5 linked regions of the Sus scrofa genome follow. The protein of the gene in region 2 interacts with the protein of the main gene of each other region in a biochemical or structural test. Links are inferred from orthologs where the notes say so. Each region holds a gene or a part of one and is shown on either strand. Other genes may lie near its edges.

Evidence for each region.
Region 1: the proteins of TRIM21 (region 2) and SQSTM1 form a complex in vitro, tested with the Homo sapiens proteins (2 studies listed by BioGRID, with this or other methods). The link is inferred for Sus scrofa from reciprocal best matches to the Homo sapiens genes TRIM21 and SQSTM1.
Region 3: of the proteins of TRIM21 (region 2) and IKBKB, one has a biochemical effect on the other in vitro, tested with the Homo sapiens proteins (2 studies listed by BioGRID). The link is inferred for Sus scrofa from reciprocal best matches to the Homo sapiens genes TRIM21 and IKBKB.
Region 4: of the proteins of TRIM21 (region 2) and USP4, one has a biochemical effect on the other in vitro, tested with the Homo sapiens proteins (2 studies listed by BioGRID). The link is inferred for Sus scrofa from reciprocal best matches to the Homo sapiens genes TRIM21 and USP4.
Region 5: the proteins of TRIM21 (region 2) and ubiquitin-conjugating enzyme E2 N-like form a complex in vitro, tested with the Homo sapiens proteins (3 studies listed by BioGRID, with this or other methods). The link is inferred for Sus scrofa from reciprocal best matches to the Homo sapiens genes TRIM21 and UBE2N.

Annotation. Positions count from the first base shown.
Region 1 is NC_010444.4:78,761,194-78,765,295, reverse strand, and holds the start of SQSTM1 (sequestosome-1), read left to right. Parts: upstream 1-1,297; coding exon 1,298-1,616; intron 1,617-3,726; coding exon 3,727-3,822; intron 3,823-4,102. UniProt on the Homo sapiens protein: Molecular adapter required for selective macroautophagy (aggrephagy) by acting as a bridge between polyubiquitinated proteins and autophagosomes.
Region 2 is NC_010451.4:5,780,879-5,784,935, reverse strand, and holds the start of TRIM21 (E3 ubiquitin-protein ligase TRIM21), read right to left. Parts: upstream 2,804-4,057; 5' UTR 2,657-2,803; intron 2,630-2,656; exon of another isoform or gene 2,423-2,629; intron 1,661-2,422; 5' UTR 1,615-1,660; coding exon 1,207-1,614; intron 704-1,206; coding exon 608-703; intron 1-607. UniProt on the Homo sapiens protein: E3 ubiquitin-protein ligase whose activity is dependent on E2 enzymes, UBE2D1, UBE2D2, UBE2E1 and UBE2E2.
Region 3 is NC_010459.5:11,331,824-11,335,335, reverse strand, and holds part of IKBKB (inhibitor of nuclear factor kappa-B kinase subunit beta), read right to left. Parts: intron 3,332-3,512; coding exon 3,217-3,331; intron 1,811-3,216; coding exon 1,687-1,810; intron 1,150-1,686; coding exon 998-1,149; intron 577-997; coding exon 515-576; intron 1-514.
Region 4 is NC_010455.5:31,866,373-31,869,884, forward strand, and holds part of USP4 (ubiquitin carboxyl-terminal hydrolase 4), read right to left. Parts: intron 2,968-3,512; coding exon 2,884-2,967; intron 1,944-2,883; coding exon 1,849-1,943; intron 300-1,848; coding exon of another isoform or gene 230-299; exon of another isoform or gene 203-229; intron 1-202.
Region 5 is NC_010443.5:26,024,313-26,028,613, forward strand, and holds the start of ubiquitin-conjugating enzyme E2 N-like, read left to right. Parts: upstream 1-1,495; 5' UTR 1,496-1,867; intron 1,868-4,301. UniProt on the Homo sapiens protein: The UBE2V1-UBE2N and UBE2V2-UBE2N heterodimers catalyze the synthesis of non-canonical 'Lys-63'-linked polyubiquitin chains. This type of polyubiquitination does not lead to protein degradation by the proteasome.

The sequences.
Region 1 (4,102 bases), on a different chromosome or scaffold from region 2:
TAGGACTGCACCTGAGGCATATGGAGATTCCCAAGCTAGGGGTCGAATCAGAGCCGTAGCCGCTGGCCTCCACCACAGCCGCAGCAACCCAGGATCTGAGGCTAGTCTGCAATTTACACCATAGCTCAGGGCAACACCAGATTGTTAACCCACTGAGCAAGGCCAGGGATCAAACCTGCGTCCTCATGATGCTAGTCAGATTTGTTTCCGCTGAGCCACGATGGGAACTCCCATCCCTTTAAGTTTTACTGACTTCCACAAACCCCACCATGAAAAAAGTGAGTGTGACTCAGCAGGTCTGACTTTCTACCTACAGAGCCCTACTTGGGAGGATTCATAGGGTGACATACCCGCCTGCTTACCTTCTTCTAAGGCACCTCCTCCCCCAACAACCCCCTTCCCCTAGGCACTTTGAACAGGTCACTTCGGTTACATAAAAGAGTGTTTCTTGGCTCCTGGGGGTGGGGTAGGGTGGGGGCTGTTGATGTAATCCCTGGGCTGCCCATGAGGCCAACAGACCTGAGATCTTTCAGGCCATTGGGCACCATTTGCTGAGCTGAACCTTGAGCTGACAAGTGGGGATGGATGGGGAGTACCGATGGGGAGTCCTTAGGGCTTCAGTGAACATTTGGTGGCCACTGAGGCTCCAGGAAGCCTTAGCAGACCCCCCAGCAAGGTGGGGATGGGAAGATCCTGTGCTCTTCTGGCATCTCTCAACCCTACCCCCTATTAAACTGGAAGCTCCTCTGGTGCTCAGGTTTGAGTTGAGTGTCTGTGCTTTAACCCAGTAAAGGGCCATTAGGGGGGATGCTGGGGGCGGCGTAGTGGGCTGCCACCTGAGAAACTGGTGGCAAGAGCGGGCCCTTGACAAGAGTGGCAAGGTCAAGACAGCGCCTCGGGAGCCAATTTGTTGTAGCTAGCAGTGTCAGCAGTGTCCCCTCTTCCTGGCTTCCAGCCTCTGTTGCCCACCTCCCTCCTGAGCTGTGCATCCCCGGTGGCCTGGGTTCCGTTTTGCTGAGTCACGGCCTGGTCAGGCCTGGGAGGGGTCTAGGGCGGGACCCTGGCCGGTCCCTTGCCCCAGGTATAGAGGTAGGCGCCAGACTTAGATGTCAGCGTGCGGGGCCGGCCTCTTGGTGTCCCTGGTGCACTTGGGGCGGTGAGGAGAGGGGTCGGGAATGAGGGGGCTCAACGGCGGGGAGAGGTAGCGAGGCTGGGGCTCCTGTAGGGCGGCTCTCGCGCGACGGCCGGGGTGGCTGGAGCCAGACCTCTGACACTCAGGCCCCGCCCCCAGGAAGCGATGAGGGGCGGGGCTTCACCCGCGTTCCCTACAAAGGCCGCGCGTCCCCTCCCGCTGCCGCCGCCGCCGCCGCTACCACCGCCGGGCTCTTCTCTTGCTCCCCAACTGGTGGTCATGGCGTCGCTCACCGTGAAGGCCTACCTTCTGGGCAAGGAGGATGCGGCCCGCGAGATTCGCCGCTTCAGCTTCTGTTTCAGCCCGGAGCCCGAGGCGGAAGCCGAGGCCGCGGCTGGCCCCGGACCTTGCGAGCGGCTGTTGAGCCGGGTGGCCGCCCTGTTCCCCGTGCTACGGCCCGGCGGCTTCCAGGCGCACTACCGCGGTGAGCAGGCCGGGCGCTCTCGGGGAGCGGTGCGGGGCCGTGACGCAGTGCTGCCCTGCCGGGCAGGGTCGCTGCTCCCTTCCTTCTCGTGGGGCTTGGGGCCGCCTGCGGGAGTTTGATCGCTCGTTGGGTGGGCGGTGGCCCGCGTGGGTTCCCATTTCGGCCTTGGGTGCCATTCTGGTAGCCAGGAGTGGTGACCACAGCCAGACCTGTGGGGTCAGGCGCTGCCAGTCCCCTAGCGGATCGGGCCCGGCGACGTAAGAGGCCTCCCCTCCCCCCACCATGATGGTGCAGATCTTGGGGAGGGCGCGCGGGGGCGTCCTCACGGCGGGCACGGGGTGGTTAGAGGGGCACTCGGGTTACACTGCCACTTGGCTACTGCCCAGCTGGGGCCCGCTAGCCCCAGATGGGGGGTTCGGATAGTAACCCGGAAGAGCCTGGGCGGGCAGATGAGGGGGAAGGGCTGGCTACGCAGAAAAGTGACGAGGGTAAATAAGCAGTGGGGAGCCCTCAGGGCTGCACAGTCTGGCCGGAGGTGGGGAGGAGAGACCATAGGTTGCCCAAGGCCAGGCGGGATCCAGACGTTATCCCGTTGGCAGCGGACAGAGGGACAAGGTGAAAACATTCTCGAGAAGTGTTGGTGTAGGGACAGAGCTCACGAGCCTGCCTAGTTTCTAGCTGAGCTGGCGTGACCGGTGGCTGCGCGGGGTGGAGTTGGGGGAGGTTGTTGTGACTGGGAGGGAGGCGGGCGGACCAGGCCCGCCGGTGGGTGGGGCCGTGCCGGGACCTCCCTCAGGACTGCTGCCAGCTCGCCAGCCCCTAGCTTTTTCAAAAAAATAACTTTGAGTTCCTGTTCACATACTGTAGTTTAAAGTGTTGAGTTTTTAGTATATTCACAGATTTGCGCAGCCATTATCACAATCATCTGGGAACATTTTCATCACTTTATACACCAACTCTGTTAGCTTCCTCCCATCCCCATCATCCTATCCTCCAATCCCCAAGCGACCCCTAATCTCTATGGATTCCCCTATTCTGGACATTTCATGTAAAAATATGTAGTCTTGTAACTGGCATCTCTTATTTACATACTATTTTCAAGGTTTACTTATGTTGTAGTATGTATCAGTACTTAATTCCTTTTTGTGGATGAATAATATTGTCTTATGGTCATGCCACATCTTGTTTAGCCATTCATTAGCTGATGGGTGTTTAGGTTGTTTCTGCCTTTTTTTTTTTTTTTTTTTTTTGTCTTTAGGGTCACACCGGAGGCATATGGAAGTTCCCAGGCTGAGGGTTGAATCAGAGCTGCAGCTGCCGGCCTACGCCACAGCCACAGCAACACCAGATCTGAGCTGTGTCTGCCACTTACACCACAGCTCATGGCAACGCCAGATCCTTAACCCACTGAGCGAGGCCAGGGATTGAACCCACATCCTCATGGATACTAGTCGGGTTTATTTCTGCTGAGCCACAACGGGAACTCCCTATTTCTGCTTTTTGACACAGTCCCTGATTTTATGGTAGATGTTGTGTTTGGTGGTCCATAGACCTGACCTGGCTTGCACATGTATTGTGTGGTTGGTTCTGTGTGGTGGTGCTTTAAATCATTTCAGCTGACATCTAAAAGTTGGAGGCTTCATACAAAGACATAATTTTAGCTTCGTTGGGGAGGAAGCAGGAAGATATATTCTACTTTCCTAAGCCACAAGAGGTCCAAGAATTTTGGAGGGGCTGGAACGCCAAGGAGCCAGTTGCAGATGGGGACCTCCCACAGTTGACAGGGTCTGGTTGGATGTAGATGGAGACAGCACCTTTCTGACAGAGCAGCTGGCCCAGAGGCAGAGTGGCAGGTGGCTGGGTGCTACCACTGCTGCCCACTGCACACAGGCACTCCACCTCCCAAGTGTGCCTGGGCCCAGCTTGGAGTGCTCACCTTCCAGGCAGTGGCAGGGTGAATGAGAAGTTCGGCCCCAGCCCTGCTTGCCCCTGGCTCACCCAGGTGGGCGTCAGTTTATAGCCCTGCACAGGCCCCTTTGGCACTGGCCTCAGTCCTTTCAGCAGCTTGTGTCCAACTGGGTGTTGATGCGCTGTCTTTTAAACATTCTAGATGAGGACGGGGACTTGGTTGCCTTTTCCAGTGACGAGGAACTGACGATGGCGATGTCGTATGTGAAGGATGACATCTTCCGTATTTACATTAAAGGTAAGGGGCTGCTCTGTGCTGAGTCAAACCAGCTTGAGGTCATGGAGAAGTTGCTCCAAAGAAGGGGTGAGGAGACTATGGGCCGTTTAAGGCAGGGCCGGGATCGTCTCTGAGGAAGGGTCCGTGTCCACCATGGTGGGGAGGTCAGAGGGTCTTTGGGTTCCCTCTTTATTGTGCCTGCGGGCCAGCTTTGGGGTTGATTTTAGTGCCGGACAAGTCTAAAATGGTGCAGACGCAACTCCCTGCTGCCTCACGCCGGCCAGGCTGCACATGCCCAGGT
Region 2 (4,057 bases):
CGTGATGACACGAGATGACCTCTCTTGCCGCCACAGCCTGACTCACCCTTCCCGGGTCCATGAGCTCCTCCCACTGTCTCTAGTTCCTGACCCACTGCTGCCCAAGCCCTGGAGCAGAACAGGCCGTAGCTCCCGCGACACCTTGCACCAGGAACAGCACGCCGTCAAGAAACCCCTGGTCAGGCTGGTTTTCCTCCCTCAGGCCTTGATGGCTCCTTAAGTCTGTCCTCAGAGCCCTTGTCATGTCCCGACAGGCCGAGCCACCGGGCATTCCTTCCTGGGACTCCTCTGTTGCAGACACGGGCCCTGTGCTGTCATCGCCTGAGACCGGGCTCCAGGAACAGGAGCTTTGGGGTCCGTCTTGTCCCCGTGCATTCTCCCCAAGACCCCCTGTCTTTGCGTCTGACTGGAGTGCCCGCCTTTTGGGCACCGTGCTTTCCTGCTCCCTTCTCTCAGGAGACCCAGGGCACGGCTGGTTTTTGGAGACTGACACATGGGGACTCCCAGTCTCCTGACGGGCATAGCTATGCACAGAGCTCTCGAGGCCAGGACCCTGGACCCTCCCCAGGCTTCTGATCTAAAGTGCCCTTCAGGACGTGCCCCTTGCCTTCCAGGCTGCTCTCTTCGTTGCAATATCCGCTTCCAGCTTCTCAGCCTGCTCCTGTTTATTTCTGAGTTTCTCGAGTGCCACCTGGAGCTTCTCCTGCAGAGAAAGACAGCGGGTAATGCCCAGTCAGACCAAAAAGTAGGGTGGGGGGGCACAAGGTCCAGGAGGATCCTACTGGTCCTTAGAAAAGCCTGAGGCGGGGAGGAGGAAGGGTGAGCCTCTGACCGGGGTGGGCATTCTGTGATGGGAAGACTCTGGAAAAAGCCTGATGTTTCTTAGGAAATAGAGGTACCCTGTTGGCGTGGTGGGGGTGGGGACACATTCGTTCCTAATTAACCAGGAGGCCACACAGAAGCATGGGCCTTGCAGCCTTTTCCCACAACAGACGCCCTGCTCCTGGGCAGTGGGAAAATCGTGCCGAGATGGTGGGTCTTCCCTTAAATAGGACATAGAAGGCAGGGGATCCCCTTCCTGTCCCCAACCCCTCAACTCCACAGGTGACTCGGTCCCACCCCCAGCCCGGGAGAACAAAGCGCTTATCAGGGCCCCACCTTCTTCCCGCCTGCTCGTGCCCAGGTGCCTCCGGGCTAAGGCCTCACCTGGTACTCCTGAGCCGCCTCCTCAATGGGGACCATGGTGTGGTCCCGGTGTTTCCGGGACTGGGAACACACCCAGCAAAGGACCTTCCCATCGTCCTTACAGAACAGGTGAAGCTTCTCTCCGTGCACCGCACACAGCTCCCACTGCGGGCCTTCCTTGACCCCCTGGCTCATCTCTTTGAGGTTATCCACCATGTTGGCCACCTGCCGATTGGGCCGGAGGTTCCTGAGCAGGAAGTGCTGCCGGCACACAGGACAGACGCTGCCCCCATCCTTCCCAACCTCGGAGATGCATTCCTGGCAGAAGCTGTGGCCACATTCGATGCTCACGGGCTCCACCATGGGATCCAGGCAGATGGAGCACGTGACCTCATCCCACATCCTTGCCAAGGGCAGTGCTGAGGCCATGGTGCTGCCGGGCTATGAAGCAGCGCTGAGGAGATCTCGGGGTGGCCTAGCGGGGAGGGGAGAAAAGGAAAGAAGGCGATGAGAAGAGCTGTGTGAGGAAAACAGAACAATTCAAAGGAGACCTCGAGGGAGCGTGAACTGGAGGGGCTGAAAACAAAGGTAACAACGACGTCAACCTGAGTCACAAGGGCTTCTCCTCCGGAGTCTGGTCCAATGAGCCAGTCAGACAGAAGGGGAAACTGAGTCCTCAAAAGAGATAGCAAAAATTGCTGGGAATCTGAGATCAAGCTGCTTACAGTTCCACTTTCATGTCTATCTCTGCTGAAACCCTCGGCGCCCAGGCTTACTCGTCCATCTTCCATCTCCAGCCACTGGTCCTCTTGCTCTGCTGAGAAGCTAATCCTAATAGCAGCGACCACTTACCATGCCCCTTCCCCCGTGCCGGGAGGCACATACTTCACATTCCTCCTCATTAATCCCTGAAACTTGGCAGGAAGGAGCTATCTATCACCCACAATATGAACATATAAATAAGTATATATATACACACACATCTGCACGTGCACATATTTATCCATATGTGCAGGTGTACATACCTATGTGTGTACACACACACAGACACACCCACACACCCACACATGTCTAAAGAGCACTCCCCCACCTGTTCCCTCAGCTTCCTGAAGCAGGCACCTGTCTTTGTTTCCTCCAGGGCACAGACCCCAAAACTTCTAATACCCTAAGCAACCCTGCCCCTGTCGTTTCCAGAGGGGACTTTTGTGGATGGGCGTCTCGGGGATGGCAGGCCTACCCCGCCCTGGGCTCCGGAGGACTTGGAAGTCGGTTCACAGCCCAGCCTCCTCCCGGGCGGACGGCAGCACGGGGAAAACCGCCGGTTAGGGTCGAGGGAACCCTGCGCCCAAGAGGGCTCTGGGGCAGCAGAGAGCTCGGCTGCAAGGGGCTCTTCAGATCCGGGGCAGCGGAGAGCGGTCCCCCGGGGAGGCCTGGGGTACCCGGGTCTAACCGAGTTCGTGAATCCACTCACCTTTTCAAGGGACTCCGCAGATAATAGCTGGCTCCAAGTTTCACTTTCGATTTCCCGCATTTCCCGTCGAGCGCAAGTCTGAAAGGAAGGGGAGGGAAGGGGCGGAGGCGGAAGGCGGGAGGCGGGCGCGTTGAGCTTCGGCCAGTGTCAGCGCCCCGGGGCTAGGATGGCTCAGAGGCTCCGCAGCATCCAGTCCTTGCTTTGCGCTCCTTTCCAAGTCTCTCTGTCTAGTGGCCTCAAGTAGTGTGACTGCTCCGTGGAGAGGCTGCTCTCTTTGACTCGGGTGCTTAGCCCCAGCCTCCGTACCGTGCCACCCAGAGCTGCCTTAAGGAGTTTGGGGTGACCGAAGGAGCTCGGGGGAGCTCTCCCACAAAGGCCACCGTCTCTAGGGAGTTCCCTTCATGGCTCAGTGGTTAACCAACCCGACTAGGATCCATGAGGATGTGGGTTCCATCCCTGGCCTCGCTCAGTGCGTTAAGGATCTGACCTTTCGGTGAGCGGTGGTGTAGGTTTCAGGCGCCGCTGGGATCTGGTGTGGCTGTGGCTGTGGTTGAAGGCCGTCCCCTGTAGCTCTTATTTGATCCCTAGCCTGGGAACCTCCATATGCCACAAGTGTGTTCCTGAAAAGCAAAAAAAAAAAAAAAAAAAAAAAAAAGGCCAGTTTCTCTCTCCTACTTCAGGAAAAAATTCTTTTTAGGAGATGCGGTAATTAACATTGGGGAGAGAGGGATTTTTTTCCTGCATTTCTCCAAGGTGGGTATCACACCAGGGAGTGGGACGAAGGGGCCTGACATTTATTGAGCACCAACTGTAAACTTCTCACTGAGCTAGGGGTTTTCTCAGGTTTATTATTATCAATTTTAAAATTTGCAGCAAAATACACATAGCATTCACCATCTTAGCCATTTGTAAGTGTCTAGTTGCGTGGCATTAAATGCATTCACATTATTGTATGACCGTCACACTATCCACACACAGAACTTTGATCTTGCGAAACGTGAACTCTGCCCCCATTAAACAATAGTTTCCCATTCCTCCCTCCCCTCAGCCCCTGGCAACCACCATTCTGTTCTCTGTCTCTGTGAGTTTGACGTTTTCGGTGCCTTACGTAAGTGGCATCCTACCGTATTTGTCCCTTTGTGACTGGTGTATTTCACATAACCTGAGATCCTCAAGGTTCATCCACCGGAGCCGGTGACAGGACTGCCTTCCTTTTAAGGCTGAGCGATATTCCAGCGTCTGAGTATTCATTTTGATTATCCGGTTATCTGTCGACGGATGCTTGGGGTGGGTGGCTTCCGCCTACTGGTTAGGGTTAGGGTTAATACTGCTGTGTCAGGTTGTTTGCTTTAAGCCACGCAGCGACTTAGCAGTTGAGTTATTGTCACAGGAGAGGACACT
Region 3 (3,512 bases), on a different chromosome or scaffold from region 2:
ACCTACACCACAGCTCACAGCAACTCTGGATTTCTTTTTTTTTTTTTTTTGTCTTTTTGCTATTTCTTGGGCCGCTCCTGCGGCATATGGAGGTTCCCAGGCTAGGGGTCTAATCGGAGCTGTAGCCGCCAGCCTAGCCAGAGCCACAGCAATGCGGGATCCAAGCCGTGTCTGCGACCCACACCACAGCTCACGGCAACGCCGGATTGTCAACCCACTGAGCAAGGGCAGGGACCGAACCTGCAACCTCATGGTTCCTAGTCGGATTCGTTAACCACTGCACCACGACGGGAACTCCTAACTCTGGATTCTTAACCCACTGAGCAGAGCCAGGGATCGAACCTGAGTCCTCATGGATACTAGTCAGGTTGGTTACCACTGAGCCACACTGGGAACTCTGGAAAAGCTAATTTCTGATATGCAAGCTCGACCCAGGGTTCAGTGAGAAAGAGGAAGATGGCAGTGAAGAGCCTGGTACCCTGGGCAGGGCCTCGGACCTGGGGGCCCTGCCTACCCGTCCGCAGAGCTCCACGGCCTGTTCCATCTCCCTCCAGGCCAGCAGCAGTTTGTCCGATGCTGGGGGAAAAAAGGAGGGAAAAATGAAAAACAAAATGAAAACACCCCCACCCCCACAATCCAAAACAGAGATAAGCAACTCAAATAGGAGAGGACAAAAGAAACCTCAGAAAAAGAAAAAAGAAAGAGACTGTCCCTCCAGACTTTTTTTTTTTTTTTAGGGCCATACCTGAGGCACATGGAAGTTCCCAGGCTAGTGGTCGAATGAGCTCTATAGCTACCAGCCTAGGCCACAGCCACAGCAGTGTGGGATCCTAGCTGCGTCTATGACTTGCTCAAGAACTCACGGCAACACTGGATCCTTAACCCACTGAGCGAGGCCAGGGATCGAACCCTCGTCCTCATGGATAGCAGTCACTTTTGTTTCCACTGTGCCACAACAGGAACTCCCCTCCAGACTTATTGTAAAGGGCACACTCACTGATCCCAAACTCTGTCTGCTCGCTGTACTTCTCCAGGTCAATCTGGATGCTGGTTTTGAAGAAATCAAGCTTGGCCTTGAGCTGCTGGGACATGGAGGCCATGGAGTTCTTCATCTTGGACAGGCAGCTGTTGTTCCGAAGCAGATTCATCCTGCAGCGGCCATGAGAAACGGAAGCTTGGGGCGCCTGTGGGATCTGAGCGCCACTTCCCGTACAATAACAAAATGACCCGAACACCACCAGCAGGCTCTGCTATAATTAGCATCATTATAATAAGAGCAGCCACTTATAACCATAAAGTCAGTTTCCTGGCTCTGAGCAACGCCTGGGGTTCTGCTTCAAAACTGGAACTAGGCAAAGTACACACAGAGTGGCCCAGAGAAGCCACATCCTGGGGAAAGAGCGAGCCAGTCCTGGAACGACGGCAGGGGAGGGCTGATGACCCAAACTGTCGAGGGCTTCCCGGTGGCCCCACTTACACTCCTGCGACTGTGCTGAGTGCACACACCCCACTGGGTCTCACAGGGCCTTCCTCAAGCATCCCCCTGACCCTCGCCGGGCCAACCCCTTCCCACCTCCCCCACCCTATGTCTCTCTCCCAACAGTTGGACCCCTGCCTTGGCCATTGCCCTGTGGCAGGGCCACCAGGCAGCTCTGAATAAGCAAAGCCCAAACCGTGGGCACGTACATGGCAGCACGCTGTCCCTGCTGCAGGCGGCTGCAGTCTTCCTTCAGGGCCTGGATGCTGTGCCAGACCTGGCCCCACACCTTCCTCAGCTGGAAAAACGGGAGGTTCCGCTTGGGCTCTTGCACTGGACAGAGACACATGACTGTCAGGGAGCCATGCCGGTGACACACCGCATCCTGCCTGCGGAGCCCGGCCACTGCCACGTCTACATCGCTAGGTTATGTAACCGCTCTGCCCTGACACGACTGTGTCGGGTATTAGGCTTGGTTACTGTCTCAGACACCCTGTGCCCTGTGCCATTTTGATTTACAGATGCACAGGACATGCGGAAGGTAGACCAGGAATCTGGGAGCAGCGGTTTTCCTGGAAGAGGCCACGGAACTGGGGAGACTGGGCAGGAGGTGGGGGGGCTTACTGTTCAGTGTATATTCTTTTTTTTTCTTTTTTGGCATATGAAATCCCCAGGCCAGGGGTCGAATCTGAGTGGGAGCTGACCTAAATCACAGCTGCAGCAACGCCCGGGCTAGGATTGAACCTGTGTCTTCACAAAGACAAGCCAAATCTTTAACCCATGGCACCACAGCAGGAACTCTCACTGTATGTTCTGTGCGTTTTGATTTGTTGGTATCACGTGAATGTTTCATCATTAAAATATAAAATGGGAGTTCCCATTGTGGCGCAGCAGAAATGAATCCAACTAGTATCCATGAGGATATGGGTATGATCCCTGGCCTCGCTCAGTGGGTCAGGGATCCAGAACTGCCATGAGCTGTGGCATAGGTCTCAGACATGGCGTGGATTCCGGGTTGCTGTGGCTCTGGCGTAGGCCAGCAGCTGCTGCTCCGATTAGACCCCTAGCCTGGGAAGTCCACATGCAGTGGGTGCGGCCCTAAAAAGAAAAAAAAACAAATTAAAAAAATGGCCACGTGATTCAAGTTCAGCGGCCTGTGGGCAGTATTCTCTGTCCTCTGTTTTTTTGTTTTGTTTTGTTTTTTGTTTTGTCTTTTTGCCTCTTCTAGGGCCGCTCCTGTGGCATATGGAGGTTCCCAGGCTAGGGGTCTAATCGGAGCTGTAGCCACCGGCCTACGCCAGAGCCACAGCAACGCAGGATCCGAGCCTCGTCTGCGACCTACACCACAGCTCACAGCAATGCCGGATCGTTAACCCACTGAGCAAGGGCAGGGATCAAATCTGCAACCTCCTGGTTCTAGTCGGATTCGTTAACCACTGAGCCATGACAGGAACTCCCTGTCCTCTGTTTAAATGAGGCTGAAATCAACTGAAGATCGATGTCCTTTCCTCTTCGCTGGGCCACCTCCTCATGTGTTCTAACAAAGAAGGCCTTCTGGATCCCTGACCCACTGAGTGAGGCCAGGGATCATACCCATATCCTCATGGATACTAGTTGGATTCATTTCTGCTGCACCACAATGGGAACTCCCATCTTCTGGCGTGGGGGAGTCCCGAGGTCCAGGGCTTATCTCAAGCACTCTAAGTGACTATTTTTTTCAAAGGCCATGCCATTCTTACGGATGCAGCTGACGCTTTCGGGCTGGGGCCGTGGGGAGATCTGGGTGTCATAGGTGACTCTGCTGTTGTCAAAGAGGAAGACGAGATCCATGTCCAGGGTGCGGCCCTCGTTCAGCTGCAGAGGGACAAGAGCAAAAGGGGCTCTTGGGGACCCATCTCCTCCTTTTCCCAGGGGCCAGGGGACAGGCTCCAGAGTGGCCCACCGGCATCGCCCTCAGCCAGCGCGGCACCCACAAAGCCTTCTTACTGACTTCGGACTCAACCCCCTTCCGCTGCTCCTTTACACGCAGCCCCGA
Region 4 (3,512 bases), on a different chromosome or scaffold from region 2:
GGCATTCTCATTTATAAGGATGTATACCTAGAATATAAGCCAAAAACTCTTTATTTTAAATGAGGAAGCAAATTTATAAAACTGTTTGCCATCTTCGTTCAAAAACATTGAAGTAAAAGAATCATATTTAATTTTTAAAAAAATCATAGATAACCAAAGAATTTCTAAATACAAATCAATGATTTTGAAAAATATGTCTTACTTAGTGAATACATGGGATTGAGGAGATTTATAGATGTTTTATCCTGGAACAGATGTTACCAAAATTGCTGGCAACCGACTGTAGTCTTTCCCTCTTCCTATAGGGGGAGACACAAACTTACTGATTCAATTTTTGAAAACTATAAACACAAATACAAACACAACCCTCCCCAGTTGCCTGGCAAACAGTTCTGACTGTAGTATGTGCATGAGGAGTTCAAAGAAAATCTCACAAAAATGTCCAAGGTGTGCTCGAGATTAAGAACGCTGGAGTCCAGCATAAAGGTCAAGAACCAAGCCTTGGAGTGAGGCTGACCCAGGTTCTAGGCCCATACTGCCACTTTCTGGCTACTGTGACCAAGCCAAGTGCCCTAACTTCTGTTTACCTAGTGGACAATGGGATCACCCTCCGTAGAGTGTAGTGGTGAAAATTAAATAACTCAGAGCACAGTACATCACATGCTCAAGAAGTATTAGATGCAACAATTGTGTTTTCATAAGACAATTATCAATGCATCACGTAACAATTTGCTTTCCTACTGCTTATCCCTCAAGCCCTGTGAAAAATCTGTTCTCAGTGGCTTGCCATGCTCCCAAAAAGATGATGCCCCAGTTCTTCTCAGCTCAGGTATACGTGAACATTAGTTTCCAGAATTGAGGAAGACTGTGTTAAGGATTTGGGGGTCAGAAGTGGATAGGCTCAGCCCTGAAGTCTAGTCCGAGCCTGAGTCTAGTTTGTAAAGTGAGGGAGTATGGCTGGGAATGGGGAGGCAGCCGATGCATTGGTTAATAGAACCAGGATCTTGGATGTGGTCAAGAACTGTATCTTTTAGAGTGACCTAGATGTCACAGGTCCCAAAAACATAAAGGGAAGGAAATGATTCCTTTGTGTCCTGCATTACTCAGCCAAAACTAAAAACCAAAACAAAATCCTAATAACCTTTCTCAGCAGAGACAAGTTTCTGAGTGAGAGGGAATGAAGGAGAGACAGTGTGGGGTGGTCCATATGCAAGCTTCCCTGAACAAGCGGCTGTGTGGGAGCTCGAGCAAGCTCACACTCCACCCTACCCCGCCTGGGAGAGGGACACACACACAATCACACAAAGCAGCCCTGAAGTAAGAACTGGAGAACACCAGCTAGAGTTGGAGTACACTGTCTGCACAGGGATGAGAAAACCAAGTGTCAAAAGACTGCAGATATGAGAGCTTAAATCAACCTTCCCTGTCATTCTGAGATGGCACCTGCCTGAGGAGCCCCTGCCTATAGCTTAGAGAAAGGATGAGACCCTCCCTGTACCACAGCCCTTTTCCTGTCTTCCCACGGCCCCTCCCAAAGCTGTGATTCTTCTTGAGCAAAGCATTTCTGACAGCAGGACTATCTGCAGGACCACTGAATAGGCCTTCTTAACATGTAACAACTGTTGACAAAAGCCTTGTTCCAGCTGAAGAGTGTTATCTGGAATGTCTAGTTCTGAAATGCCGGTAGGTAATGCTGCCCACAATTCCCTGAACACTCATCTCTTGCACCCAAGGGTTGGAGCAAATCCACATGAGCATCAACTGCCAGATATGCTCTGGAGACACCAACACAGCAAAGACTCTAAAACGTTTCTTTTGACCCTGCAGCAGAAACCACTGAGTACTCACACAAAAATATCATCCCGAGGCATGATGTGGTTTAAACCTTCATCCATTTGGAAAATTTTGTGGAACCGGTGATTATACACATCTGTGACCACCATCTAAAAATCAACAGTAACAGAAAGGTGACGGGATTGATTAGAGAACATCTACTTAATACTTAGGCACGAAAGAAAAAAAAAATGTGCTGCTGAAGTGTTGCCTCCAGAGAGATGGCAATACAACCAGCCCAGAGTTCAGGGGCCAAGGTCCAAGGTGGGAGCAGCATGGCTGCCTCCAGCATCAAACATGCTAGTACATTGATCCCAAGGTTTTGGGGTTTACTTTGTCTTTTTAATTTTTTAATTACAGTTGATTATGTCCCAAGGTTTATGATGGGAATTGCCCTCAAGGGGCAGGAATGATGGGGAATAAGTGCTGACCAGAGACTAGTAGTCATCTAGAAGCCTTTAGGGTATTCCCAGGGGGCAAAAGTCCTCAAGACATCCTCAGCACACAGCAGAAAAGACCAAACTCCAACCACCAAGACCTACCAACTGAAACTAGCAGGGGTACAAGGGGAGTGGGGAGAAGGGCATTCATTGATCAGGGCTGGGGGAATCCAGGAGGATCGGTTCTCATGTAAAGGGAAATCTTCACTTTTCCCACCTCCACACAGGGCCAGGCTCAGGAGATAGGCCAGAATAAGCAATTGTTTTTAAAGAAACATTTCTATTAAGTCACTCCACAGACTTACGGAGTTTGAGTCAGAAAAGAACTTCCGGCTTCTCACATTACAAATGATGTCAGGTATAAAGGGGAGGCAATGTGAGAGCAGAGCCCCACTCCTGGCCCTCTGACCAATGGTTAATGTGTTCTCAGTTCCCAGGGCTGGAAGGGACAGTCTCAGCCACAGTGTGCACAATGAACGAGAGCCAGAAAGTCTGGGGCATCCAAATATAATCACTACCCTCCAATAAGTGGCTAAAAGGTTGAAAATTAATTTCAAAGGACTATGAAGTGCTCCCAATAGGTTGAGTGCCACTCAATACCCCGCCTTACGTTTTCTGCAGCAACGCCAGACAACCTGGAGAGAGCCTCGCACAGATCAGATACAGCACCCATTAGCGGCACAATTACGCGGTACTGCAAAGGAAAAATGGGAGGGGTGACAAGGGTGCTCTGCAAAAGGTAGGAAATGAGCTGGAAGGAGCAGGTATCATGGAGGGCAGAGGTGTCCCTCCAGAAACAGTGTATGGTGAGATCCAGATGAGTAGCCAGCAAGTCTTCTGCATCAACACTGCCTTTCTACTTAGGCATCACCACAGAAGCTAGGCTATCTTAAAGCCTTTCACTACTACCTTTAAAGAAATGCTAAAATTATTAAAATTATACAGATTGCCAACGTCCTTGTTATCTTTCTTTAGAGATAAAAGAAAATAAAGCCAGAAGACTAAGCATACAATAAACCATCAACGGGGCTGGACACTAAAACTGGTTGGTCATACCTTTTGTTCTGGCCAAGCTCTCCAGGCTGATTTAGGAAGAAACCTGATCAAGCAAAGCACTCTGTTCCTAGTTTCCTAACATTCAAAGATATCTTAGCAGATCAGCCAGGTTCCTTAGTCAAATGAACGGAACATAGAGAAAAAGGGACAGAGAAGCCCAGAGGACATTCACATTATGCTTAA
Region 5 (4,301 bases), on a different chromosome or scaffold from region 2:
CTCATGGTTCCCAGTCGGATTCGTTAACCACTGAGCCACAACGGGAACTCCCCTCTTCGTTTCTTATTCAGGTTTCTGACCTGTATCATTTTCCTTCTCTCTGAAGAATCTCTTTGAACATTTCTTTCAAGGTATGTCTTTTGGAAACAAATTCTCTCAGTTTTTGTTTGTATGAGAAAGTCTAAATTTATCTTTCACTTTTGAAGAATAATTTTGTAGGGTACAGAATTCAGGTTGATTTTTTTTCCCCTTCTGAACACTTTAAATTTCACTCTGCTCCACTTCCATGGTTTCTGAGAAGTTGCATGTAATTTTCATCTTTGCTCTACTATAAGTAAGGCTTTTTTCCTCTCCTCTGGCTTCTTTCGAGATTTTTCTTTATTTTTGATCTTCTGTAGTTTGAATATGATATGCCTAGGTGTAGTGTTTTTTGGAACTATTCATGATTGATGTCTCTGACATTAGCATTTTACATTAATTTAAAGAAAATTGCTGTCCTTATTGCTTCAAATATTTCTCCTATTACTTTCTCTTCCTGGTATTCCCATTATACATATGTAACACTTTTTTATAGTTGTCTCACAGTTCTTAGATATTATCTTTTGGGTTTTTTTTCCATTTTTTTTTTCCCTCTTTGCATCTCTGTTTTGGAAGTTTCTATTAACATTTCCTTAAGCTCAGAAATTCTTTCCTCAGCTGTGTCCAGCCTACTGATTAGCCCATCAAATGCATTTTTTTATTTCTGTTACAGTGTTTTGGTTCCAGCATTTCTTTTTGGTACTTTCTAAGAATTTCCATCTCTCTGCAGACATTGCCCATCTGTTCTTGCATGTTGTCTATTTTTTCCATTAGCCCTTTGCATATTCATCATATTTATTTTACATTCCTGGTGTAATAATTCTAACAACATTCTTGCCATATCTGAATCTATTCCACTTTATTATTATGTAATGCTCCTCTATATCTCTGATAACTTTTATTGCTCTGAAGTCTGCTCTGTCTAAAATTAGTAGAGTTACTCCTGAATTTTTTTGACTGGTGTTAGCATGGCATATCTTTCTCCATGCCTTTATTTTTAATTTACGTATGTCTTTATTTATATATGCATGCATTTGGTCACACCTACAGCATGTGGATGTTCCTGGGCCAGGGATTGAACATTGCTCTGGCTCTTCAAATGGTGTCTGTCTTTTGCCTTTTAGTATGCCTTACAAGTTTTTCTTGAAAGATGGACTTGTACTGAGTAAAAGGAACTGCAGTAAATAGGCCTTTAATGATGTGGTGGTTAGGTGTGGGGGAAGGGAAAATGTTTTATAGTTTTATGATTAGGTGTCAGTCTTTTGATGAGCCTGTGCTGCTGGGCTGTGAACGTCACACGTGCTTCTCTGTTGTTGTGGGTTTTTTTTTTTTTTTGCCCCACTCCCCCCCCTTAATTGGAACAAGATGCCTAGAGGAGCAGGAGTTGCGTATTTCGCTTCCCCAGTGTAAGAATAGAGCCAGCTGGGGCTGGGCATTTCCCTTCCCCTAGGTCAGTTAGGCACAGATAAAATCCCAGCAGGTTAGGCCCTAGAAAATAGCTTCTCCTGCAGGCGGACCTTGTTAAGAAGTGAGTGCTCTGGCACATTTCAAGGTGGTTCCTCTTCGGCTCCTTCTTCAGGAAACACAAGAAGATTTTCCTCTCAGATCTCCACTGTGAGAGTCTAGTAGGGCTCCTAGAGGCAAAGCTCACAAAGTGTGGATTCCTCTGGAATATTTAATTCTCCGATTTGTCTACTCTGCGGCTCCAGCCACCTGTCAAATACAGTTCAGCTTTCCTGACTGCGGCACTGGTTCCTGAGGAGGTTTCTGCTTGTGGGTTTCCGCTCTGGTAAGTTGTGATTTTCTGTGTCTCCCTGTCTCTCTAATGTGAGGGCCCGAGATTTGCCCTGAGACCTTCGTTCTCTCATGGATTTAAGAGTGGGTGATTTTTCAGTTTGTTCGGCTTTTTCTTGTTTTTAGAATGGAGGAATGACTTTCAAGCTCCTTCCAGGCCAGACCAGGAACTGCACCCCTTTTCCTTTTTATAAAATGATACCTGAGTGATATTTTCTGATCCAGTGTAGAATTTAGTGAAAACGTCTACATTCTGGTCATTGTTGCTATATTATTCCCTTCCGTTAATCCTTTTGGGCTATAATTGTTTCCCCAAATACTTTTTAGCTGTTAACAGTCTAGTTCTTTCCTCTGTTTGTTTTTCTTCAATTCCACTCCCACTCTGTCTTGGAGTGCTAACAACCAGTACCACCCATGTGTGCCAGTTGGGTCAACATTTAAACAAGGATGTACTGTTTACACTGTTGTTTCTAACATTCTGGTTGCAAACACCGCTTTGTGCTTTGTGAATTGAATTGGTGACAGGTGAAACTTAGGCTGATGGCAGAGAATTTGGGGTTATAAATGATGGTTCGAAGCTAGATTTATTTCGTTTTCTCTAAACCTATTAAATCTGTCCAGGTTGAAGCTCACTTGTATTGTATGCACTCACATTACGTAGAGAAATGGCTTTCAGCCTTGCCTTTGTAATAGATTCACTGGCTCTATTTCTATTTAATTGGTCTAGATGGGTCCTGGTATCAGTATTTCTGAAAGTTCCTTGAGTAATTCTACCATGCAATTTGAGGTAAGTCCATTGGTCTGTAGCAATGGTCAGCAAAACTTTTCTTTAAGGAGCGGAGAGTAAATATTTTAGGCTTTGAAGATCATTTGAAGATCATATATTCTCTACTGTAATTACTCAGCTCTCATGTAGCCGCCACAGGCAAATGGGCATGGCTATGCTCTAACAACTTCCTTTCTAGAGACCAAAATTCTAATTCATATACTTTTCATGTGTCATGAAATATTCTTATTCATTTGATGTTTTTTTTCAACTATTAAAAAATATAGGAGTTCCCGTTGTGACTTGGCAGTTAACAAACCTGACTAGGATCCATGAGGATCCCTGGCCTTGCTCTGTGGGTTAAGGATTCGGCGTTGCCATGAGCTGTGGTGTAGGTCTCAGACACGGCACAGATCTGACATTGCTGTGGCTGTGGTGTAAACCAGCAGCTGTAGCTCTGATTCAACCCCTAGCCTGGGAACCTCCATATGCTGCGAGCGCAGCCCTAGGAAGAACAAAAAAAAAAAGTACAGATTGGTTTTGTCTTACAGGATTTACGATAACAGTCTGCAAGTGGGATTTGGCCTAGGGACTGTTGTTTGGCAGTTCCTAGTTAATGGTTTATTTTCTTCACTGCTTCAATTTGGTTCCAAAAGAGAAAATGTTTCCTTAGTTACATCACTGATAATATCTTCAATGAATCCCAGAACTGACTACTTATTTTAAGTCAGTTTATCAGAACATTTTTAAACATGGCAATGCATTTCCTTATTAGGCTCTGAAGTTGTGGCCATTGAGATGCTTTTATCTATGAGTAACAAGCATGGCTTAAAAGGCTTTCAACAGTAGGAAAGGTATTATCTCATTAAAATAGAGAGAATTGCAGGGCTATTGTTATTTGAAAATGTCATCAGCCCAGATGTTTTCCATCTTTCATTCTACTATCCTCAATATTAGTCCTGCCTGATGTCTTGCCTCATGGTGGCAAGATGGCTGTAGTAGCCCTGGGCATCACATGCAGACTCACAACATCCAAAAAAAACAAAGAATAATTCCTTCCTTGAATTTATTTTGAATGTGGGGCAGTCTATTTTTAGACCAAGGCCCTCCTCCTATGTAAATCTCCCCTTAAGTCTCAAGGACCAAATCAGGCCCTGGTGAAGGAATTGAGATTACCATGATTACCTATCATGATGCTTGCCTTGGCTTCAGGATCTGGTCTGCCTTTCACAGGTGGCCCCAGGATCCCAGAATCAAATCAGGGTTCTGATAGCAAAGGAAGAGGAAGAAATGGCAGTGGGGCAAAAAAAAAAAAAAGTCTCACACAGAACTAGATTGTTAGGATTAAAAAAAATAAGGCGGCTGTCTCCTAAACTCCTCATTTCCATTTGTTTATTTACTTCCTTTAAAAGACCATTAGACAATTGTTGAGTACAATTTTCCTGAAAGATAGCTTATTGATTTTTCACTCAAGTAGGTTACATTTTGCTTCAGCCTTCAAAGACATTTCTATTACTCCCTTCAGATTACATTTAAAAAGGAATGTATCCGATTTTGGCTTACTTTGTTCTTTTTCTAAACCTGTACCACGTTGTGTGTGTAGCATAAAAATGTCCATGTCAAAAAAGGTTTAAAAAGAGTCATCACTTTTTTCTTTTCATTT